Struthio camelus: one gene and its partner. The protein of the gene in region 2 interacts with the protein of the main gene of each other region in a biochemical or structural test. Links are inferred from orthologs where the notes say so. Each region holds a gene or a part of one and is shown on either strand. Other genes may lie near its edges. The genes, in order: M6PR and perilipin-3-like.

Region 1 (12,156 bases), on a different chromosome or scaffold from region 2:
AAGCTCCTGTCAAACCAACACAACAGTTGATCAGGTTTTTTGATCACTTTATTTTTGAAAGTTTTTTGTACAAAAAACCCAAATTATATTAAACACCACCATGAAAAACAGTAACAGCAGACTTAGTGACTTCCTATTTTTCCCCATGTTATGAGAAAGATTGAGACCATAACAAAAGTCAAAGAAAGCAGGAATTGTTTGCCCACTCTAAATCCAGCAAGAAGGTAGGGCCACCCTCTTCTTAGTTTCACTGTTTGGACTGCATCTGCAATATAAGAACACATAAACCTTTCCTGTTCCCTGCTGTTAGCAGCAGTACTTTACTCACAGTCTCTGTCCTCAAGAGAGTAGACAGGTCTCTGCCAGTTTACAGTATGGCAGAATGCCACTGCTAGAGTCTAACCTCCTCACATAAAAAGCAATTAGAAATCAAGGTGCCAAGTAACTGAAGGCTCCTATTAAGTCTTACAACTCAGCTGAACCTGCCTTGGCCCCAGGGGAAATTCATTCTCCCAGCTAGTAGCAGCATGCAAGTACCACCTGCACTGGGCCACTGTTGTAAGATTAACCTGAAACATGCTTAGGGGGACAGTGGTTTATCCAAGCTGACTCTGTAAGCGCAGGGGTCCCTTATGCAGTTTTTTATGTGCTAGTATGCTTATCCTTGGCTTCTGTATTTCCTTTTTATAAAGGGGAATCTAGTAGCTTCACAGAAAAATCCTCTACCAGATGATGAAACTTCAGAAAGCATATGATCAGAATTCTGACAGTGACCGAGCTGTGTGGGCAGTTAACCTCAGGAAGGCTTTTAACAACCCGAATTGCAGTTCCCTCTAACTTCCTCATTTTGCCCTGATTTCAGTTTCACTTTCAATACACACCCCCTTAGCAGCACACTGTTTCCTTTGGCTTCCTAGTGATTGAGGAGACCAAGATGTCATTTTCACTGAAGAAAGTCATGAAACAGTATTCTGACTCCCATAGTTTTCTAGCATTGTCCCTTTCCAGTCTGAAACAATACCTATTGATGGTCTACATCTCTGCATCTCTTAAAGAAAACTGGTGGATTTTCAACTTTTCAACACATTACCACTAGGAAAAGGAAAAACTGTAGAAGTGCTAATGCCTCTTCCATCCCCAAAGAGTTTGGCATAGAGCACTCGGTGCAGGTTATGCTTGCAGAAAATGGCTTGCATAACAGTGCAGAAGCCAGAAAAGCTGAAAATGCATTTGAAGAATAAAGCCAGTGTTCTTACAGATCTAGTAAGCCTTAGAGGAGAGACACAAAAGGCTTCTCCTAGAATCTCCGCTGTTTTAACCCACTGTCTCCTTTCCCACCCCCTCTTTGCACCCATCTATGCCCTTCTCAATAATTCATCTCCCAAGCCTGCTCAATACTGAATGCTGAATATGCATTTTTGCTGCCTCCTATTCCACTCTCAACACACTTTCCCCTCAGCTCTGCTGCATTCCTTGAAAGCCTAAAACAGCATTATATTCCTCAGACATGCCTTCAGGGACCAGTGGTGCTCATATCCAGAGGCTTTCATGATGCCACAAACATGACACACCAGAAACAGCGAAAGCAAGTAATTTAAAGAAAATCAAAAGTGAGAGGAGAACTGTCTGGGAGGTGCCTGGCTAAACAAGCACCAGGAAGATGGTGAGAGAAAAAAAAAAAAAAAGCGTTGAAAGCCTATCACATTGGCAGCAAGTGGTCATCCCGTTCTTCTGACTCTTCACCTAGCTGGTCATCACCTACACCACGGTATGCAGCTGGTGCATTTCGAGGCTTAGATCGGCACACAAAGTCACAGCCATCCTACAAACAAAGGTTTTACAACACTGGAATCAGACTATATGCAATTAACACCAGAGCAAAGCAGCTTCTGTGACTTCTCTTTTGTCAAGGGATTATGCCTATCCTCAAGCTATCTGGGACAGATCCGAAAAACTTGTCTTGGTAGGGGGAGCATGTGTACATAGATGCTACACAGTCTTGAAGGCTGGTCAGCTCTAGCGTAGACTGTGGTACTGATTAACAGTATGCAGCAACATCATACTGAGACAAGAGTGAATGATAAACAACAGACTAAAGTGAGCAAGGAAGGGTTTCAGGGAACCAGACATGAACACTTCAGTCCTCAGCTTACCATTCCTACCTGAGAATGGTTAGCCACTAATGAGATGTGCTCTAGCCATGTAGTAATCACAGGATATCAACATCACAGGGGGGAACCAGACTCTAACATTCAACAAGCAAGAACTCTACAAGATAAGATACATGCTGTCTTCTGCCTCAGGGTACTCTGTGGTTGATTTCCCAGACGTAGTCCATGAAGACAAGGCAAGTCCCAACTGCCTTTTCTCTCATATACTAACACATGGTCCAGGCTGGGAATATACAAAGATTTCTCACTCACCGCCACCAAATTGCCCAGATCCTGCCAGAAGGCAAAGTGAGGAAACTGCTCCATGCCCTTAGCTCCTACCACTAGGCGCTGGTAGAGGAACCCACCGATGATGTAGAATGCAATTAGTGAAGCAAAACTGGAAGACAGAATTTAAAGTCAGAGCTGAGAAAATTCTACAGACAACCTCCCCCTAGCCAGCTACCTGCCTTAAATAGTGTTCGGTTACTTACTGCAGTACCAATTTAAGAAAAGAGCGATAAACAGAGACCAGGCCAGGAAAGGTACCCAAAAATATCGATCTGCAAGTATAAATCTTTCAGCAGCATCACAGGAAGTAGTGCCTCTAAGCACAAACACAAAAAACGAAGAGTCAAGACTCCTAGCCTGAATTCCCAGCTCTGGCAAAGAGCTGTGGTACAACTTTAGGAGGTCATACCTTTCATGTTTCAGTATGCTTGTCTGTAAACTAGGAAGGAGGATGTCTATAGGGGGCAGAGCACCTCTACACCATCATGCTTTAAGCAACGACTTTTGTCCAAAGGCTCAGAGACACAGCAGCATTTAACAGTGGCTGCAGACAGCTGTACTACAATTATCTGGTCTAGTAAAGCATTTGCTGTTTCTAAATGGCATTGCAGATTTTGGCTTAGGAACAAACAGTTCTTCCAATTACTCACATGATTAGCAGAATGGAGCCAACGCTCAGGTGGGAATCCTCAGCTGGGCAGGCCACACTGCTGTCCATCTCAAAGAGGTAGAAACACTCCTGCTCCTTTTCTCGCTCTTCCGAAATAATGTTGAATGAACTCTGATTTGGGAAAAGTCAAGTCATGTGAAAATATGCTGAGGCATGCCGAACTTTACAAAAAGGCAGTTCTATCATTGTTGGTGCAGCTATGCAATGGATATTGGAGGACAGAAGAAAACCTTACTGCCTCCACAACTTTCTGGTGTTAACCAACTGTTTCATAACCTCTCCCACCTCATGTGTCACTTACCGCTGTAATCCCCTGCTTGCAAGAAATCATTATCACAGCTCTTCTCTTCTCGCCACTGCAGTGTCTACCATATGAGTCACCCCCTTTATAAATTAGCATGATCCAGTCACCTACCAAAGGGGGGGGAAAAAAAAAGGGGGGGGGTGGCTATAGATCCAGACCAGAAGGCAAAAGGCAGACATTGAGTAAGCCAAGTTATCGACTGGAACCTTACTTCCATTGAAGACCTGGGTTTCATTGATTCTTCCTACCACTGTAGTCTTTCCAGTCTTTCTATCAATTTGTACTAGGCCAGCAAAATCATGCAAGGAGCTGTCGACCTCCCTGCACACCCTGAAGTGATAGGTGTAATTTTCTGTTGTGCCTAGCTCCACAGTCTTGTTAAACCTGCAGCAAAGAGAGGGCAGAGAACAAATAGCCTATACAATTACAAAGAATAGGGCTGAAAGCAGTCATTCAAGACCCTGAGAGCCAGCCACAGCTCATGTCACGGGGAGTCCACTCTACAGTCTGGCCTCAAAATTTTCAGTCTCCCTGACCTAAGGGAGATGTACAGCCCCAAGACCTACAGTGAGTTGATATATGCTTGCACTGTACCTCATTTGGCTCAGAGGTTCTAGTTTCTTCAGCAGGGCTTTTTCCATTTGCGATTCGCTGCTCTCATCACCAATCACATCACAGCTCTTCTCTTTCACCTCTTCAGCCCACACACTGACAACAAGGGCCATAAGAACTACCAGCAGACCAGAGGTATGCTGAGGTGATGACATCCTGGATACATGCCAACCACACAGAACACAAGGGATTAATCATTTAATCACCAGCAAACTAACTCAAAAGTCAAAAAGGTGGCGATTGGCCACCTACTCATTCCGGACCGCAAAAAGGATAAGTCAAAACCTAGAAACATCTCAAAGTTCCCAAGAGACACTAACCCTCAAGAGTTTGACATGGTCAAAGACAATTCACTAATACAGCAGGTCTTTAGGCTTCTTCTCCAAGTTTTGTCTTGGGACCACAAAGTTTTGCCACTGAGCTCATTAATGAGCATTGATTCAGCCAAAGCAGGGTCCAGTAAGCTCTAGACTGGATGCCAGAATAAGTTCCAGGCATAAGCCATTGTTTATTATTGCATCCCACTGAGAAGCCAGTTAGCATAAAATGATTTACTAGCTCTCTAATCAACTGTCTCGGCAGGTCTTGTGTAAAGAGCTTGTAGGTAGAGAAACTATTATTAGTCAGGCTCTGTCTGTTCAAGCTCCTTAATCCTAATAACCAAATGATTATTACATATCCTTCTTTAACTACTTTAGCTGAGAATCTGAAAGCATCTAGTAGTACTAAGCTGCAGCTTCCAAGAACAGTTTTCTACCATCTACATGGGGGAAGAAAGAAAATGAGACCACCTACCTAAGATAAACAGAAGGGGCAGTAGCAAGAACACGAATGAAACCTGGAAGCTTTGGCTTTCAGGCTTATGCTATAATCACACATGAACCATTCAGTATTCATGCTCCCCCCCCCCCCAGCTGCAGTTGCACAACAGACTACCCTCTGCTTCTGCCATCACAGACTTCAGCAGAGTTCCAGATGCTGATGGGAGCTAACAGGTTAACAATTTAATAAGCATATGACCATGGATAGGCAGACAGCCTGTTTTGCTGAAAGTATTACCTCTCACCCCAACAGAGTCCATCATGAGAAGTTACAACTATTAAGCCATCATTTTAATCACCACAGATGTAAATATAAAGAGGTAAGATAAACTTAATTGGGGAAGTCTGTGACTCAGGAACTCATGATCTGCCTCTCACAAGACAGCAAGGAGAAGCTGTCTTCTCTTAGTACCAGAGAAGACTTCTCTGGACAACCTGCTTGCAAACATTTAATTCAGGTACTTGCCGAGGAACAAAGCGATAACACAATACTATTGTCGGGCCCTCGCCTGGGATCACTCAGGCGAGCAGATTTCAGTGCGACTACCTTTACACAGACCATTGCCCGCTGCTGAAACAGAGCCGTCTGCTTGTGGCGCAGCGCCATGCAGAGGGGCTCGGGGCAGGGAATGGTCTCACCCCATGGCGGCCCAAGGAGCCCGAAGCGATTTCCACACCCCCTCCTAGTCCCCGCGCCTCTCATTTCCCTGCGGCCGCCGAGGCTCGCGGGAGGGCGCGGAAGGCGCGTCCCGGAGCACCGTCCCCGCTGCGGCTCCCCGCCCCGCCGGCCGCGGCCGGCGCCAACCGTCTCACGAACCGCCGCGGGCCGCGCTCAGTGCTCGGGGAGGGGTGGGCCCGCCCCGCGCGACCCACCTGGTGCCGCGACGGCCCCCCCGAAGCGCGGCCTCGCCTCGCCCCGTCCGCCCGCCCGGCAGGCAGACGTGACCCCCCCCCCCCCTCAGAGCAGTCAGTCAAAGCTCATGAGCAGCCCATGCTACGGGCGCACCCGGCGGCGGGGGCCTCCCGGGGGACCGCTGGCGCGGGAAAGGGACGGAGATGAGCCTCCACCGCCTTCCGCTTTCCCGGCCAGCCGGCCGGCCGGCTCCCCTCGCCCACCCCCCCAGACCGGAAGCAGGAAGGGTAAAAGGGAACTTAACGCTTTCCCCCAATAAGAACTCGGGAGCCGCCGAGATTTCCACGCCCACTGGCGAGTCTTCGCCGAATGAGGAGTGGGGATGGAAAGAGGCGGGTTCTAGAGCTCCCCTCCAACCAATAAAGTGGCCCCGCTGGAGCCCGCCTTCGCCCCTATCCCCGTCCAACGGGAGGTGAAAGAGGCGTGCAGACCTCCCCCACTTGCAATTTAATCTTCTCCAATGAGCCATGAGGACCGTCAGCAAGGACCTACAGTGCCCGCCCACTAGCCCCTCTCACCCAATAGTCACTGAGAAGCGCGGCTATAGGCGGGAGCCTCTCGCCCAATAGCGGGGAGGTTCTTGCTGCGTCTCTCTCCGTGGCGCCGTCACGGTGCCTGTTGGGGGCTGTAGTGTGGCTGCGCACGGCACGTGGAGGCCGTTGGGACGCCGGGCGGCGGTTGGGGCGCCGCGCCCCTGTCTCAGTGGGTGTGTTATCTGCACCCGGAGCCGTGCGCAGGTCTGACGTGAATGGTGTCGCTTTTATTTTCCCGTTGGCTCACCTGGTCAACATGTGCCCTCCTGTGTGCTTGCAGCCCTCCCAAGTTGGTGTCGCTTGTCATCAGTTTAGTAATTGTACTTTTCCCCCCATCATTCACATCCTTAATAGAGATACTAATTGGTATTGGTCACATCTCACTCAGTACGTCTCTCCACTGTTGACAGCGAACTGTTAACAGCCGCTCTCTGAGGTACGGTTTTCTAGACGGTTTTGCACCTTCATTGTAGTTTATTGTAGAGCATGTTAGTGAGAACAGGATGCGAGACAGCATTAAAAACCTTGGTAAAATCAAAATCCGTAAGATTTTCTGCTGCTTCTCTGCCTACAAGATCACAGTTACTCTGAAGCAGAAGAGAAACAGATTAGCTAAGATTAGATTGGTTTAACATAACTCATTCCTGGCAAATTCATCTCCATTGTTACCTTTTTATTCCAGATGTTTGCTCCTTGCTTGCTCCTGTACTTTTCTGGGATTCATCTTTTTTTCCTGTGTCTTTTTAAAAGCAAGTACTATATTGCCTTTAGTATTCTTTGCTCCCCCTCCACGGGCACTCTAAGAGTCACTATAGAGCTCAGAGTCAAAGCCAGTCCTGCAGGCTGAAGCACACCAGGTATCAAGATGAAAACATCTCATTTAATACTTTCTAACTTTACCTCTTTAAAGCTGAAATCTTACCCTTGTCCTCAGTACAGGTTCAGATCAACTAGAAGCAGATAAGCATAAAGAAAAAACACTACACAGTATCATCTAGCCATAGCTTACCTTTCCCCCCCACCCCCTCTACTGATGGTAATAGACCATCACTTTCCTTGAATTATGACATCCCAGTTATGTACTTCCAAAATGATTTCTTGTTTAACTGGCAAGGGATACTGTCATTCATAAGATCATTTTGTGGCCTTGCTTCTTCTGATTTTGTTTCTGCCTGGCATGCTATTTTATTATATTTTTGATTAAAGGTGTCTCCAACAGCTGTTGCAAGTTTTTCCACCACAGATGAGATCCAGGTCCCAGCTGATCATGCACAAACTTGATGGACTTGAATGTCGTGAATATGATTTATAAGGCTATAAATGATCTGAGATTGGCCCATCTAAAAGACACCTCTTTTTGAGTCATCCTCGCACTGCTATGATAAAAGAGTCTAGTTTCCAGGGCTGTGTTATTAGAAGGGATGGGGACAAATGACAGAATTTCTTTGTGAGAACTCTCAGGCTTGCTTCACCTCTTAATAGGAAAATAATCCTGGGTTTGGTGAGTCTGTAAGCATGCTAGAGAAGCCACTTGTTTGTGAGGAGTTTGAGAGACTTTCCTAAGCTATGCTTCTTGATAGTAGTGGGAAGGAACATTGTTGGCTCCTAGCAAACTGATCATTTTAGTCCTGCTGTGATTTGTGTCCTTTTGCTGATTCCACTGGGAGTATAGCACAGACATCTTAGTAACAGAAGTCAGATTTATTTATATTCACAATTAGATATTAACTGTGTGTTGCCTGAATACCCTCCAATGGGGGGATCACTTCACTATTCCCTATTCAAACTAAGAATTCAACTTATCACTGATACTTGAGAGAATAAGGTAAAACCCATCAAAACAGAGCTCTTAATTCTTCCACACCAGCCTTCACTTCTCTGCTTGTTCACAAACAACAACACCATCCTCCTTAACATGCAGGCCCTGCAGCCAGCCAGTGGTTCAGCTTTGATTGCAGCCTTTTTCCCTTGGTCTGGGCGTTTAAGCAGCTTCTAAATCTTGTCAGCTTCTTTCCAGCCACACAAATTACATTCCCAGCTAAGCTTTCATCATGACTATGGCAAGTTCTTCCTCTGAGGGCTTGACAACTCTCTTTAGATTCCCCTAATATCCATTCAGAGCACTCGAAGGAGGCTTCCCTCCTCTTGTGTTTCTTTGTTCTCGTCTAACTTCCCTTTCCCCTCAGGTACAGACCCCCTGTCTTCCCATCTAAAGGCCCTACATAGAAACACAAGATTGGAAGGAATCTCATAGATGCAATGTGCCACCCTTAGAGGCAAGCGTGTGATGAAAGAGTTTGCAGGAATAGCCACTCCCTATCTTCCTGGACATGCACATGTTGCAAATTGTCCACAGCACTCTATATCAAGCTGTATACCCTCCCCCACAACCACTCCTCAAATTTACAGTGTGCCACGAGGACAGAAAGAAAACATTCCTGTTCTGGAACTGAAAAACATGACAAAGTCCTTTGGTGAAAATGCCCAGACAATTCACTAAGTGAACTGTACGAGTGAGGAAGGTGTATCCCCCAAACCTATCAAACATCTTCCAATTGAGCAGGAACTGGAGGGGATCAGAATCCAAACCCAAAAGGAAAATCAGGCAGCCATGCAGTTAAGGGGTTTCTCCGTGTGCTAGAAGCATCAGTACTCCCCACCATTCCTCCAGTGATCAATCTTTGCCACTACAGCAGAAAAATACCCTGTTATCTCTGATGCTGCTGAGATACTGACTCGGAAGGTCTTGAGGGATGCTAACTCTCGGTGTCTGCCTGTTATCTCTGATGCTGCTGAGATACTGACTCGGAAGGTCTTGAGGGATGCTAACTCTCGGTGTCTGCCTGTGTCCCAAGCACCTTCATACTTGGTGTTGGGTGTAGAAAGAGTTCCCAGTAAAAGCGTCCAAAGCTCACAGGCTTCCTTCTCAAAACCATGATGTGCACCTCTACTTCACTCTAAAGCTTTTGACAACAGTAGGACTTCCTAGTCTGGTGTAGCCATTGCTTATCCCACTGGTGCTATTTACCTTGTACTGTCCCTATCCACCTGCTTAATACCTTATCCTGAGAGGGAGCTCTTCAGAGCTGCCCATGTTTACGCAGTTACTACCACAATGTAATCAAAGCCTCTTGTGTTGACAACAGTTAGAAAACCCAGGAACGTTGAGATTAATCACCTCTTCCCCTAGCTACTGCTTTATATCACCCCTCAGCAGATTAGGAAATGGAAGTTGTTGCGCCTCCAGTGCTCTCCATTCTGGTGTGAAGTTGCTCATTTTGCACAGCTGGAGACAGAGGTTGCAACTTCACATTTCTTGTCTTCTGAATGCAGCCTCAGGTTTCCTGTTTCACAGACGTTGAACCCCGTCGCTCAACAGCCTGATCGAAACATCTTGTTATACGCACTCTTTGTTTTGGCATGGAGGAAAGCAGGTCAGAAACTTCTGCAGCAGGAACAAGTGAGGAAATAATCTATACATCTCTCAAGTTCTCTCAGACTCCTCCACTGCAGGCCAAAGCAAGATGGGAAAGGACAGGTAAGGAAGCTAGATGAGGTAGGTGAACAAAGGATTTTATTTCATGGTATTTCCACAAGATCTAGCAAATACACTCTGAAGTGGCCACAGATTTTGAATAACCAGCTCAGGGTGCTGTAGCTTTGATTTAAAAATTGTCTGAGTGTTCTCCTGTGACAAAAGCCAACGGGCCAAAGACCCAGCACTTTTCCCTTCCCTCTCTCCATCAGACTCCTTTCAATGTCTCCTATTGGGCACTCAATTCAGGCACTCCTTTTGCCAAAAGAGATTTATACTTTTTAAAGTTGTCTGCTTGTCAGTAATAGTTCTTTGAAAGATGGGTGAGATGGAGCTACAGATAAAGGCGTATGCTAATCAGAGATCAGAGACAGAAGGGACTTATGCGATCATCCATTCTCTCTCCTATGGGGGCTCTGCAGGTTTGTTCTGAGATGCCTTTTTTCTGTGCTTTCTTTGCTCAATTTTATATACTTCCAGTGAGCAAACTTTCAGCCTTCCTCTGAGACAGTTCTACAGGACAGCTTACTATCAGGAACAATTTTTTAGTACTTGCCTTAAATTTTCTCTTTCCTAGTTTTCATTTCATTCCCCCTATTTAAACCCTGCAAGTGTCATACTGAACAATTTCTCTGGCCTCTTATTTGTGCCTTTGAATAGTGAGATTTTGCAGTGGTGACCTTTCATTATAAATGTCTTCTGCCCATGAGCTGATTGCTTTTCCTCTAAATGCGCATATGCTTTAGGTGAAGGGCTTTGTGTTGGCTGCAACACTACTGGCTGTTCATAACTTTTTTTAGAGCTGTTATAGCAACCAGGGCTCTCACTCTGGGACAGGAGATTTCTGCGTCCTGTTCAGAGTAACTGTACATATCTGCAGTTGTTAGTGCTGCCCCATTGCTTACTGAGCTATAGAAGCAATGCTGGCACAGAACTCCCAAAGTTCTTATCTGCTAGCCACAGTGAACTTACTTGGAAGACGATCTTGCTTTTAGACATGTTTTCAGATGTGTCAGAAAATGCAGACACATCCCTTCATTCCTCACCGCTTGTGCTCATCCCATCCAATGGGAGGTGGGTATTCCAGGATCCCCTGTTGAGATGTTTGCAGTTTTCTTGTTAATGTTCCTCTTCTCCAAATTGCCAAAGCAAACTGTTCCTTTTGAGATAAAACCAGAGGGCCTGAAAAGAGGAAGCTAGTCTTTGAACACACATTTCTGTGCATATCATTTAATTATTTTCCAGCTCCCTTCTGCCTGCCAAGAACTGTCGCTCTGAGCACAGCTTAAGTACCTTTTTTTAGCAAGACTTTGACTTTCAACTCTCTCTGCGTGCTGCCTCCCCCCGCAGCCTCTCTTGAGAGATGCATTTCCACGTATATCATCTCTGCTTTCAAATGCACACCCTTACTACTGAATCACACTTGTGACCCAGTATAACAGGGTCAAAACAACTGGTTCTGGCTCACATGGACTCCACTAACATGAATAGTTGCACCAGCTGTGTTCTCTCTGGCTGCCAGAGAGCCTGAAATATTCCACGCTACCAACATACCACTCAAGTAGTCACTTGAGAGTGTTCACCAGTGCAGCATGTAACAGCAAGTAACCTGGCCTGTGCCATAGCTAGGGACAGGTCTTGTCCCTCAGATCCTCCTCCCTTGCCCTGTGTAGTCATGCTGCTCCCATACTGACGTAGAAAAGAGCTGAGGGTATCTATCTGGGACAGTGCAATGGCATTCTTCTGATTGTCCTTGAAGACTTGAATTATTAAATGATGACAATTTTCAGTTTCTGAACTGAATCTGGACTCTCAACCCTAAAAATACTCTATTGTGTTATGGATGAATGCAGTTTATCACAGTTAGCTTTCCAGAGCTCTAACAGACCTAACTTTGTATTTTTTATATAGGAAAATTATAACATTGGATTTTGACACTAAATATCAAATCAGACCACCTCTCTCTTACCTTGGGGAGATTTTTCCACAGTATCCCAGACAACTGTATGAAAATATTTCTAGATGTTCTGCTCAGACTTTCCCCCTCTATTTCAGACTCATCTTGGCTACTTCTCCCTCCCTTTCCCGGAAGGAGCTTAACATGATACTCCAGTGACTTGAGGGTCAAGCACAGATTCTTGAGTCTATTTTAAAAAGGGGAACTGCACGGACAAATGCTGCAGGGACAAATGCTATTTTATCAAATGTTTTATTCCACTTCCCTGGGTTGAGCACTGCCATTCAAGCAAGGCTCAAATTCATCTTGAAAGCTTCAATATGACTTGCTCTCTTCAGTTTCATACTGTTTTTTTTCCTTCAAAAATTAT
Region 2 (11,992 bases):
AATTCCACCCCCCCCCCGGCTGTTGCAGCCCTGCTCTTTGCAAGCAGCATCTCAGGGCAGTGATGGGCCAAAACCCAGCCCAGCTGGGCTACCCCAGCGCCGCAGCAAGGCAGGCCCTGCTAAAGGGCCGTGCGCCGCTCCGGGGCACCATGGGGGCCCCCTGCTCCGTCCCCTCCACCCAGGAAAGCCACATTAACGCCAAGACACCGGCAGCCTGGAGCAGAGCTTGTTGATGCCAAGACCAGAGCAGTTCCCCCCCCCCCCCCCCCCCCCCCCCCCCCGGCCCTCGTGCTGCGCTTGGGCTCCCCAGGGCGGCCGTGGGGGCTAGTCGAACCTGGCACCTTCCCGGCTTTGGTAGTCCTGCAGGACGCCGAGGAGGTTGGGGGTGCCGGTGGCCTCCTGGGTGGCCCGCGCCGCGGCGGTGGCCTCCAGCCAGGGCACCGGTGGGTTTTGCATCAGCAGCTGCAGCAGCTCCTCCAGCACATGCCAGGCCCGGGCCACCGCGGCGCTGCCCTGGGCCACCACCGCCCCGGGCAGCCCGTGCAGGGAGGTAGCCAGGGCAAAGGCGCCGTGCAGCTCGGCCATGTCGCGGTGGGCCCGCCGCACCGTGTCCCGCAGCGGCGCCGGCAGGTCCCTGCTCTGCGCCAGCAGCTGGAGGAAGGTGTCCTGCAGCTGCTGCGCCAGCGTCCGGCCCATGGCCAGCACCTGCGCCTCCACCTGCCCGCGCAGCGCCAGCGTCAGCGCGGGGCGAGGACACCCGGCCGGGTCACCCCTCGTCCCATCCCGGGCTCGGGGGCAGCCGGGGCCGTCCTTGCCTGGGTGCTGCTGCCGGGGCTGGCAGGCTCCTGGCCGGGGCTGGCCGGGCTCCACTGCAGCACCCGCAGCAGCTCGTGGCTGGGGCGAAGGCGGTCGCCCAAGCCCTGCTGGGTGGCCTCCACCTGCGAGGAAGATAGGGAAGGTGCCCGGGCAGGGTGGCGCCTGGGACAAGGAGGACTCGGAGGATGGCCTGATGCCCGGCGCGGGGAGCTCACCACGTGCAGGAGCTGGGAGAGCTGCGAGAGGCTGTGCTGCATGACCAGCCGACTCTGGCGCAGCTGCTGCAGGAGCCCGGCCACCACCCGCTCCCGCAGGCAGCTGCGCGGGGAGCCGCCGGGCTGGGGGCACCCAGCCGCCGCCGCCTCCAGCCCCTCCGCAGCCGCTTTCGCTGGGAGAGAGATGGAAGAGAGAGATGTGCAGAGAGGAGCCGGGCTGTGGGGACACCGTTGGGGGGGGGGGGACAATGGGGAGAGGCAGGCCAGCAGGGGATGGGACATGGGGACCTGCTCCCTGAGCAGCATCCTGGTATGGGGCATGGGGACCACCCCCCCCCCCCCAACACTGAGCAGCATCCCAGGACAGGACATTGGGACCCCTGAGCTGGAGCAGCATCCTGGTATGGGGCATGGTGATCCCAAGCAGCAACCTAGTGTGGGACAGGACATGGGGACCTCCCCAGCCCCCAAGCAGCAGCCCAGTACAGCATGGGACATGGGGACCTCAACCCCCGCAAGCAACATCCCGATATGGGATACGGGGACCCCTGACCCTGAGCAACATCCTGGTATGGTCCATGGGGACCCCCCCAACCCAGAGCAGCATCTCAATGCAGAGAGGGACACAGGGACCCCCCAGCAGCATCCCAGGGGCTCTTACCCGCCTGCTGCTCGCCCAGGGGCAGGTAGCAGTTGAACCACTCCTCGGACTTCTCCAGCACCCGGTCCATGCTGCGCAGGAAGAGCCGCCCGGCCGCGGTGCCCAGCACGGCGGGGAGGCTGAGGGCATCCTGCGGGGCGCCCGGCTGCTGGAGCAGGGTGGCCATGGGCTCGGTGGGCCTTCCCGCAGCCTAGGCGCATAGTGGGGCTGCCAGGCACCGTGCCCTGCCTGCGGCGAGGCAGGGGTGCACCTAGGGGCTCCCTCCGGGCTCCTGCTGGATGCTCATCTCCCCCCCCCCAAAAAAAACCAGCACTTGGGGGAGTTTGTCCCCCCTCCCCAAGTGCAACCCCCGGGGATCGGGCACCTGCTGGCGTGGCTGCAGGGTGGCCTCTTCCGCGGGGTCCTGGGCTGCTGCGGCTGCAGGGGGGGGACAGGGATGCTGAGCAGGGGTGGGGGGCTGCGAGTCCCCCACGGGGGGCACAGGGCTGGCATCTCCCCCGCCGCGCTCCACAGCCCTACTCACGCCAAACCCGGCTCGCTGGGCGGCCGGGGTCTGCGCTGGCCTCGGGGGCCGGCTGCGAGGGGGCGCGCGGGGGCTGGCTGCGGGACGGGCCGGAGGTGGGGGGGACGCCGGGCGCGCTGACCACCCTGTTCACTGCAAACTGAGCAGCAGCAGAGCTGAGCAGGGCCGCGGACGGTCCCCCCCCAGCCCAGGCGCTCGGCCCCCGACGCCAACCTGCTGCTCCCAGCTCTCGGGCAGGGCTGGCCCCAGGCTGGCCGACGGTGCTTCGGGGCCATTGTCACCACCAGGCTGGGTGACATCCAGCTCTGGGGAGGCAGAGCAGGGTGACAGCCCTGAGATGCAGGGAACCAGGGCTGCCCCCCGCTCCCCTGGCCCAGCACAGACCCCCTGGGCCAGAGGCACCCCGAGGGGCCCCCCTGGGGTCCAAGCTGTGCCCCAGGGGCATGGGGACCACCCCATGCTCACCCTCAGCCATGGGGGCTGCTCAGGGGCAGGTGGCAAAGCCAGCAGCCCAGGTGAGGGCTCAGCACCAGGACCAGCCCCTCTGCTGACTCCATTAGCACAGCACCCTCCTTCTGAGGTCACAGCAGGGCTATGACATCATGCCCCCTTCCAACAGCTCCTCTAGCCCCAGAAGCTGGGGGGGACACCAAGGCCGGGTGCTCAGCCCCACGGGGCCTGGGCCACAGTTCCCACCATCCCAACCTGCTCACACATGAGGCCTCAGATCCGGTGCAAAAAAACCAACCAGACTTTATTGCTTTGCGAGCAGTCCTCAGGGTGCAGAGTCCGCACGGGCTCCCGCTCCCAGGGCTGGGCTCAAACCCTGGCCCCAGCCGGGAGCACCAGGTCTCACAACCAGCCTGGGCACCCGAGGTCAAACCAGCACCCAGACGCAGGGGGCAAAACTGGGGGCTTGAAGGCACCGAGGGCTCTAGGCACTGAGGGAGAGAGGGATGATGGAGCCGGGGGGCAGCTCAGGCCGAACAGAGGGGGACTAGGGAAAGTCACCCAAGGGTCCCATAGGCACTTGAAGACACCAAGGCACTTTGCTAGTACAGCCCTAGCCCAAGGACAGGGTACAGGGGACCAAGCTGCACTTGGGACAGACTAGACAGTGGCCCCTGCCCGGGGAGGCTCCTGCAGCCAGTACAGACGCCCCCAGAGCAGAGGATTACAGAGCTAAGATGGTTAGTTGGGCTAGGCTGGAGTGTTAGTTGAGGTGCTCCTAGCTAGGCCTGGGTCAGGGCAGATATAATCCCGGCCCGGAGGCAGCAGCTGCTACTTGGATATCTCCATATCCACCAGGCGCTGGCCCGAGGGGGCGAAGGGCCCCACGAGCCAGGACAGGGTGGTGTTGTGGGCCACGTGCTCCACCAGCTCATCCATGAGCTCGCGGGCCTTGGCTGCACGACTCCGGGCCTGGGCCAGCACGCTACCCGTCACATCCTGGAAGGAGGCGACGTTGGCGAGGGCGGCCCGGAGCTCCTCGACGTTCTGCCGGACCTGGCCCGCCTTGTCCTGGATGCCAGCTGGGAGGCCCTGCAGGCTGGACACCAGGGGCTGGCACGTGCTCTGGAGCTGCTGCGTCAAGCCATGCAGCACAGCCAGGGTGCCTGACTCCACCTGCTGCAAGGGGACAAGGGGAGGATGAGCCACCTGGGCAGCCTGAGGGGGCCCTGGAGACTCCACCATCCACCTCCACCTACCTCCGGTTGCACCAGGTCCTTGCCACCTCCTGGCTGCTTCTTGCTCCACTCCAGCCACATCTGCTGCAGCTTCTCCTGGCCTCCCTGCAGCTTCTGGTCCATGCCCTGCTTGAGGTGCTCCACCTGGAAGGGAAGGGACAGGCTGGCATGGGTGGCCTGTTGCCAGGCCCCGACAACAGCCCCTGGCTGATGGAGCCAGGGGGGCCAGGTCCTACCAGGTCCAGGGTGCGCTGGAGCTGGGCCAGCACGTCCTGGCTGCTCTGGCGGGCGCTCTGCAGCTTGCCCAGCGAGTGCTGGAGGGCACGGTGCCGCAGCTTGGTGGAGAGCGAGCCCAGGTGCACAAAGTAGCTCTGCTGCTGCTTCTGCTGGTCCGTTTCAAAGCCTTCCACTGCTGTGGCCAGCTTGGCTGGAAGAGACAAGCCAAGGCTGTGAGGGGTCCTGAAAGACCACCAACCCCATGCAGGGCATCTCCTGGTTTGGGCACTTGCACATGGCCCTGCTCACCCCAGGGTGCCCACACAGAGCCCACCAACCCCTTCCAGGCTCTACCCACTGGGCCAAGGGGCTCCTGATCCTCCCCCATGTCTCCAGGGAGTTGCTGCCAGCTCCTTACCCAGCTCCTCGTCCGTCATGGGCAGGTAGTGATCCACCAGCTCCTCCGACTTCTCCAGCACAGAGCCCACCCCGCTCACCACCATCTGGCCCACAGTCGAGCCCATGACCGTGTTGACGCCGCTGGTCACCGCAGACTTGGTCAGCTCCATGCTGCCCTGCACGGCCCCTTTGGTCATATCCATCACACCCGTTACCCGGCTGGTCACCGCATCCTTGGCCCCAGCCATGGTGCTGGTGAGAACATCCTTGGCCCCCGTCACAGTGGAAGTCACCAGCTGCTTTGTGTCCGAGATGAGCTAGAGAGAAGCGAATACCCTCCGTTAGGCAACTACAGGGCAGACATGAGCCTGCTCGCCGGGACTGAAGCACAGCGTTACCTTTTCCGTGGGCTGCTGCAGGATGGGCAGCTTCTCCTCCAGTTTATCCAGCCCCTTGCAGGCGTATTCGTTGGCCGTGGAAACTAGAGACAAGGAAAGCACTCTCTTAACTACCTGCCAAAGTTTCCTGCTAGTGCCAGTTTTCTGGGCACCCCAGCACTCGCTGCTCAGGCGGCGAGCCCCGAGCGGGCAGGGCGACGGGGCTGGAGACCCTCCAGGGCACCGCAGCTGCTCCCGACCCCACTCACTCTGCGGCTCCAGCTTGGTGAGGATGGGCTGGGCCCCGCTGACGGCCGCCGCCGTCAGGGTCTTCACGCCCTTCTCGGCGACGTCGCACACCGACTTGACGTAGGGGTGGCTCTCCTTGGTGGAGGCGTAGGCCGTGGACACCATGTCGTAGGCAGAGCTCACCAGGGGCAGGCTGGCCACCCGGGTCCCGATGCTCTGGGTGTGGGGAGGGCACCGGTGAGGGCAGAGTCTGACAAAGCCCCGAACCCACATGCCAAGCAGACCCCCCCCCACCCCCAGAGAAAGCAGGGCTAGGGGCATCCCCCCCCCACCACAATCACTGGGGTCCCCTATCCCACCACCCTCCCCACCGAGGAGACCTGAGTCCCCCCAGCCTGTCCTGGACCAGGACATGGTCACACCAACCCTGGCAGCACGGTGTCTCCGGCAGAGCCCACCCAGGGACAGAGTGACCCAGGGCAGTAACCTGAGCCCTGTCCCCAGGCAGGGGCCACGCAGACCCCCCCCATCCCACCCCAACCCTACCGACCTGCTGCTCCTCAGCCTTGGGGTGCGCCGTGCTGGGGTCGCTGGTGGCCATGGCGGGGCTGGGAGGAAACGGAGAGCGGGGCTCAGCAACCGGATCACCCGGTCACCCCCGGACAGGGGGGATCCCAGTTCCCCCACATCTCCCACCCTCAGGACGGGGCACCCCCCGGGCAGGGTGCTCCCAGCTCCTCCCGGGTCCTCCAAACCCCCCTGGACCCCCCCCCCTCCCCCGGGGACAGGGGAAAAACAGCGATCCCGGTCCGCCCCCAACCCGCCACGGCGCGGCGGCCGCTGCCCAAAATCCGCCCCCGAGCGCGGCGCCCCCGGGACCGGGACCGGGGCCGGGACCGGGACCCCCGGGCCCTCCCGGCTGGCAGCGCTGCAAGGCCCGGCCCGGCCGCACTCACCTCCTCGGCGCTGCAGGCTCGGCCGCTCCCCCCGGGCCTTTATAGCCGCGGAGCCCGGCCCCGCCGCGGGGGAGCGCGGCCCGCCCTGCCGGGGCCGGCCCGGGGCGCAGCGACCCCCGGCCCCGCCCCGGCTCCCCCCGGCGCCGACTCCCGGGGCTGGATCCCCCTCCGGACCCCCCGCCGGGCTGGACGGCGCCGACCCCCGGAGCTGGATCCCCCTCCGGACCCCCCGCGGGCTGCGCGGCGCCGACCCCCGGGACTGGATCCCCCTCCGGACCCCCCGTCGGGCAGGGCGGCGCCGACCCCCGGGGCTGGATCCCCCTCCGGACCCCCCGCCGGGCAGGGCGGCGCCGACCCCCGGGGCTGGATCCCCCTCCGGACCCCCCGCGGGCTGCGCGGCGCCGACCCCCGGGGCTGGATCCCCCTCCGGACCCCCCCGGGCTGGACGGTGCCGACCCCCGGGACTGGATCCCCCTCCGGACCCCCGCGGGCTGGACGGTGCCGACCCCCGGGGCTGGATCCCCCTCCGGACCCCCCGCCGGGCTGGACGGCGCCGACCCCCGGGGCTGGATCCCCCTCCGGACCCCCCGCCGGGCTGGACGGCGCCGACCCCCGGGGCTGGATCCCCCTCCGGACCCCCCGCCGGGCTGCGCGGCGCCGACCCCCGGGGCTGGATCCCCCTCCAGACCCCCCCGGGCTGCGCGGTGCCGACCCCCGGGGCTGGATCCCCCTCCGGACCCCCGCGGGCTGGACGGTGCCGACCCCCGGGGCTGGATCCCCCTCCGGACCCCCCGTGGGCTGCGCGGCGCCAACCCCCGGGGCTGGATCCCCCTCCGGACCCCCCGTGGGCTGCTCGGTGCCGACCCCCGGGGCAGGATCCCCCTCCGGACCCCCCGCGGGCTGCGCGGCGCTGACCCCCGGGGGCTGGATCCCCCTCCGGACCCCCCCCCGGGCAGGGCGGCGCCGACCCCCGGGGCAGGATCCCCCTCCGGACCCCCCGCCGGGCTGCGCGGCGCCGACCCCCGGGGCTGGATCCCCCTCCGGACCCCCCGTGGGCTGCGCGGCGCCGACCCCCGGGGCTGGATCCCCCTCCAGACCCCCGCCGGGCTGCGCGGCGCCGACCCCCGGGACTGGATCCCCCTCCGGACCCCCCGTCGGGCAGGGCGGCGCCGACCCCCGGGGCTGGATCCCCCTCCGGACCCCCCGCCGGGCTGCGCGGCGCCGACCCCCGGGGCTGGATCCCCCTCCGGACCCCCCGCGGGCTGGACGGTGCCGACCCCCGGGGCTGGATCCCCCTCCGGACCCCCGCGGGCTGGACGGTGCCGACCCCCGGGGCTGGATCCCCCTCCGGACCCCCCGTGGGCTGCGCGGCGCCGACCCCCGGGACTGGATCCCCCTCCAGACCCCCCCGGGCTGCGCGGCGCCGACCCCCGGGACTGGATCCCCCTCCGGACCCCCCGCGGGCTGGACGGTGCCGACCCCCGGGGGCTGGATCCCCCTCCGGACCCCCGCGGGCTGGACGGTGCCGACCCCCGGGGGCTGGATCCCCCTCCGGACCCCCGCGGGCTGGACGGTGCCAACCCCCGGGACTGGATCCCCCTCCGGACCCCCCGCCGGGCTGCGCGGCGCCGACCCCCGGGACTGGATCCCCCTCCGGACCCCCCGTGGGCTGGACGGTGCCGACCCCCGGGGCTGGATCCCCCTCCGGACCCCCCGCCGGGCTGCGCGGCGCCGACCCCCGGGGCTGGATCCCCCTCCGGACCCCCCGTGGGCTGCGCGGCGCCGACCCCCGGGGCTGGATCCCCCTCCAGACCCCCCCGGGCTGGACGGTGCCGACCCCCGGGGCTGGATCCCCCTCCGGACCCCCCGCGGGCTGGACGGTGCCGACCCCCGGGGCTGGATCCCCCTCCGGACCCCCGCGGGCTGGACGGTGCCGACCCCCGGGGCTGGATCCCCCTCCGGACCCCCCGTGGGCTGCGCGGCGCAGACCCCCGGGACTGGATCCCCCTCCGGACCCCCCGCGGGCTGGACGGTGCCGACCCCCGGGGCTGGATCCCCCTCCGGACCCCCGCGGGCTGGACGGTGCCGACCCCCGGGGCTGGATCCCCCTCCGGACCCCCCGTGGGCTGCGCGGCGCCGACCCCCGGGGCAGGATCCCCCTCCAGACCCCCCCGGGCTGCGCGGCGCCGACCCCCAGGACTGGATCCCCCTCCGGACCCCCCGCGGGCTGGACGGTGCCGACCCCCGGGGCTGGATCCCCCTCCGGACCCCCCGCGGGCTGGACGGTGCCGACCCCCGGGGCTGGATCCCCCTCCGGACCCCCGCGGGCTGGACGGCGCCGACCCCCGGGGCTGGATCCCCCTCCGGACCCCCCGCCGGGCTGCGCGGCGCCGACCCCCGGGACTGGATCCCCCTCCGGACCCCCCGTGGGCTGGACGGTGCCGACCCCCGGGGCTGGATCCCCCTCCGGACCCCCGCGGGCTGGACGGTGCCGACCCCCGGGGCTGGATCCCCCTCCGGACCCCCCGCCGGGCTGCGCGGCGCCGACCCCCGGGGCTGGATCCCCCTCCGGACCCCCCGCCGGGCTGCGCGGCGCCGACCCCCGGGGCTGGATCCCCCTCCGGACCCCCCCGGGCTGGACGGTGCCGACCCCCGGGACTGGATCCCCCTCCGGACCCCCGCGGGCTGGACGGTGCCGACCCCCGGGGCTGGATCCCCCTCCGGACCCCCCGTGGGCTGCGCGGCGCTGACCCCTGGGGCTGGATCCCCCTCCAGACCCCCCACCGGGCTGCGCGGCGCTGACCCCCGGGGCTGGATCCCCCTCCGGACCCCCCGTGGGCTGGACGGTGCCGACCCCCGGGGCTGGATCCCCCTCCGGACCCCCCGCCGGGCTGCGCGGCGCCAACCCCCGGGGCTGGATCCCCCTCCGGACCCCCGCGGGCTGGATGGCGCTGACCCCTGGGACTGGATCCCCCTCCGGACCCCCCACCGGGCTGCGCGGTGCTGACCCCCGGGGCAGGATCCCCCTCCAGACCCCCCACCGGGCTGCGCGGTGCTGACCCCCGGGACTGGATCCCCCTCCGGACCCCCCCCCGGGCTGCGTGGCACCGACCCCCGGGGGCTGGATCCCCCTCCGGACCCCGCCAGACTGGATCCCCCCGGGGTGGACAGCACCCACCCTGCCCAGACCAATCACCCTTCTGGACGGCACCCCCGGATCCCCCCTCCCCAGCTCACTGAGCCCCCAGTGTGGGAGGCTGAGGGTTAAACGGGAAGGGGTCAAGCCCACTGCCTGCGAAGATGGGGTCCCGCCAGCCCCCACTGCACGGGGGGGGACACCAGGGCCCCCCAGCACGGGGACACGCAGGCCAGACGACGGCCTGCTGGGGCTGGCGATGCTGAGGCCGAGCGGGGCAGAGCCGCGGGGGCCGCGTGACAGCGCGGGAAGCGGCGGTGACGATAACCCGGAGCGAAGTTCGGTGCCACACGGCCCCGGTTCACAGTCCGGCGGGCCCCGGGCACCCAACTCTCACCTCGCCCTGCTGCTTCTCCTCCTCCTCCGGGGAGCGAAAGCCTCCCCGGGGCGACCCTTGGCCCTCCCCGAGCACCACAGCTGCCACAGACCAAGGCTTTCGGGGGTCCCAAACCTGGCCCAGCCAGTCCCGCACCCAGCCCGCCTCCGCAGCGCTCGGCATCACAGGACAGGAGCCGTTTTAAGGCTTAAAGGGTTCCTTTATTTCTTTAAAGTGCTTTCGAGCTGGTGAGACTAGAAATCCTGATGCTCCCCAGGCTCGGGGACACCGCGGGGGGGACCGAGACCCCAAAGCGGACGAGGAGCAGGGCTGGACCCGCGCTTCGTTCTCAGCCCACCGTCACCTCCGTCCCCGAGCGAGGCGCCAGGCGCGGAGGGAGCCCGCACCGGCTCCCAAAGTCCATCGCGCTGCGGGGACTAGTTTTGCCGTGCCAAGCGGGCGTTTCGGCAGCTCGTCCCCGCACCCGGGGAGCGGGCGAGCCCCTGGCCGGCCGCCGTCGCTCAGAGCTCGCTGCAGAGACGCGGCGAGCCGGGCGCCCGGTGGCTGCCACCGATGGCCAGGCAGCCGTCCCACTTGGCCATGTCCACGAGGCTGTCCTCGGGGTACTCGACGAGGACGGGGGCGAAGGGACCCACGAGCCAGGGCAGGGGCGCGTGCTGCGCCACGTAGTCGAGCAGCTCGTCGATGGTCACCTGGGCCTGCGTCATCCGCCGGCGGCTCTGCGCCACCACCAGGTCCGACAGGTCGTGGAAGGAGCGGGTGCGGGAGACGGTGGCCTGCGCCTCCCGCACGCGGCCCGCCGTGGCCCGGGCGCAGACCGCCCGCAGCCAGCGCGCGAGCCACAGCAGCGCGCCCGCCTCCACCTGCGAGGCAGCGAGCCGGGAAACGCCGGCGGCCGAGACGCTTCGCCGTCGCCGGCTGCCTGCCGGCGCTACCCGCGCGTCCGCCGCGGCCTCGCTCGGGTCCGGCTGCAGCCACAAGCGGCGCAGGTACCGGCGGGCACCCCGCAGCCTCCCCTCCGTGCCCTGCTTCACGCGTGCGACCTGGAAAGGATGGGGGGGGGAGAAAGGGGGGGAATGGGAGCACCCCCGGGGTGAGCGGGGCACGCCGTGGGGCCGGCCGCCGTCTTACCAGCTGGCGGATGTGCTGGAGCCGGGCCAGCGAGCGGCGGGCGCTCCGCAGCCCGCCCAGCGAGTGCTGCAGGGCTCGGTGCTGCAGCTTGGCCGAGAGCGAGCCGAGGCGCGCCGCGTAGCTCTGCCGCCGCTCCGCCGGGGCCGTCTCGAAGCCCTGCACGGCCGCGGTCAGCTTGGCTGCGGGGGGGGCAGAAGCATCAGGGCGGCGAGCCCGGGCTCTGCCACGCTGGGTACCTGGGAGCCGGCTAAGGAGCATCCCGCAGGAAAGCGGCCCCCCCACCCCACCGCTCCCCGGCTCGGGAGCCGGCGGCACGCCGTCCTCCCTCGCTCCGGCAGCACGGCCCCGGTTTGCACCCGCCGGTTCGCACCCGGCCGGCCGTGCGGAGGCGTCGCCGCTGGAAAGCAGCCGGACGGCCCCCGCGGTCACCTCTGCTCCGAGCCGGAACCAGCCGTGCCCCCCTGCTAGCCCCGTGCCCGTGCTATAAATACCCGGCGGCGGGGTGGGATGGCGGCATCAAGGCTATATTTGCTCTTGGGTTTCCAGGTGAGAGTTCAAACCGCTGCTGCTCCGCGTTCCCCGGCTTCAGGTTCCCCTCGGAGCAGCTGAGCGGGGACCGGCCCCTCTCCTGCCCGGGGCCACCGCGCCAGGCCCTGCGCCCCCCAGCACGAAACCGGAAGGGAAGGGGGTCCCGGCGGCTTTGGCACCTCCGGAGGAGGGAGAAGCGGCCGGGAAAGGCACTCACCCAGCTCCTCGTCCGTCATGGGCAGGTAGCGATCCAGCAGCTCCTCCGACTTGCCCAGCACCGTCTCCACTCCCGTCACCACCATCCTGCCCACTGGCGAGCCCACGACGGTGCCGACGCCGGCGCTCAGCGCCGCGCGGGTCCTCTCCACGCCGCCCTGCACGGCGCCCCGGGCCGTGCCCACCACGCCGCTCGCCGCTTCCCTGGCGCCCGTCACGGCCGACGACACCAGCATCCTGGTCTCCGCCACCACCTGGCGCGGGGACGGCACGGGCTGAGGGTAGCACGGCGGCCGGCCCCAGCATCCCGTCCCCACGCGGCGCTGCGGCTCGAGGACGGCTTTTCCCGGTAGCTCGCCCGGGGCTGGGACACCCTCTCCCCCCGCTCTGCCGGTGGGGATTTACCTTTTCCGAGGGCTGCTGCAGGATGGGCAGTTTCTCCTCCAGTTTATCCAGCCCCTTGCAGGCGAATCTGTTGGCCGTT

The links.
Region 1: the proteins of perilipin-3-like (region 2) and M6PR form a complex in vitro, tested with the Homo sapiens proteins (2 studies listed by BioGRID). The link is inferred for Struthio camelus from reciprocal best matches to the Homo sapiens genes PLIN3 and M6PR.

The regions. Positions count from the first base shown.
Region 1 is NC_090942.1:89,012,234-89,024,389, forward strand, and holds M6PR (cation-dependent mannose-6-phosphate receptor), read right to left. Parts: upstream 5,986-12,156; 5' UTR 5,722-5,985; intron 4,184-5,721; 5' UTR 4,183-4,183; coding exon 4,010-4,182; intron 3,800-4,009; coding exon 3,627-3,799; intron 3,523-3,626; coding exon 3,413-3,522; intron 3,223-3,412; coding exon 3,092-3,222; intron 2,551-3,091; coding exon 2,424-2,550; intron 1,823-2,423; coding exon 1,700-1,822; 3' UTR 31-1,699; downstream 1-30. Other genes in the region: KLRG1 (killer cell lectin-like receptor subfamily G member 1), read left to right, coding at 9,715-9,832. UniProt on the Homo sapiens protein: Transport of phosphorylated lysosomal enzymes from the Golgi complex and the cell surface to lysosomes.
Region 2 is NC_090967.1:4,502,267-4,514,258, forward strand, and holds perilipin-3-like, read right to left. Parts: upstream 6,191-11,992; 5' UTR 6,101-6,190; intron 6,093-6,100; exon of another isoform or gene 5,965-6,092; intron 5,753-5,964; 5' UTR 5,746-5,752; coding exon 5,695-5,745; intron 5,361-5,694; coding exon 5,165-5,360; intron 5,000-5,164; coding exon 4,917-4,999; intron 4,836-4,916; coding exon 4,538-4,835; intron 4,331-4,537; coding exon 4,140-4,330; intron 4,048-4,139; coding exon 3,925-4,047; intron 3,845-3,924; coding exon 3,497-3,844; 3' UTR 2,944-3,496; downstream 1-2,943. Other genes in the region: perilipin-5-like, read right to left, coding at 9,973-10,943, 11,510-11,762, 11,914-11,992. UniProt on the Homo sapiens protein: Structural component of lipid droplets, which is required for the formation and maintenance of lipid storage droplets. Required for the transport of mannose 6-phosphate receptors (MPR) from endosomes to the trans-Golgi network.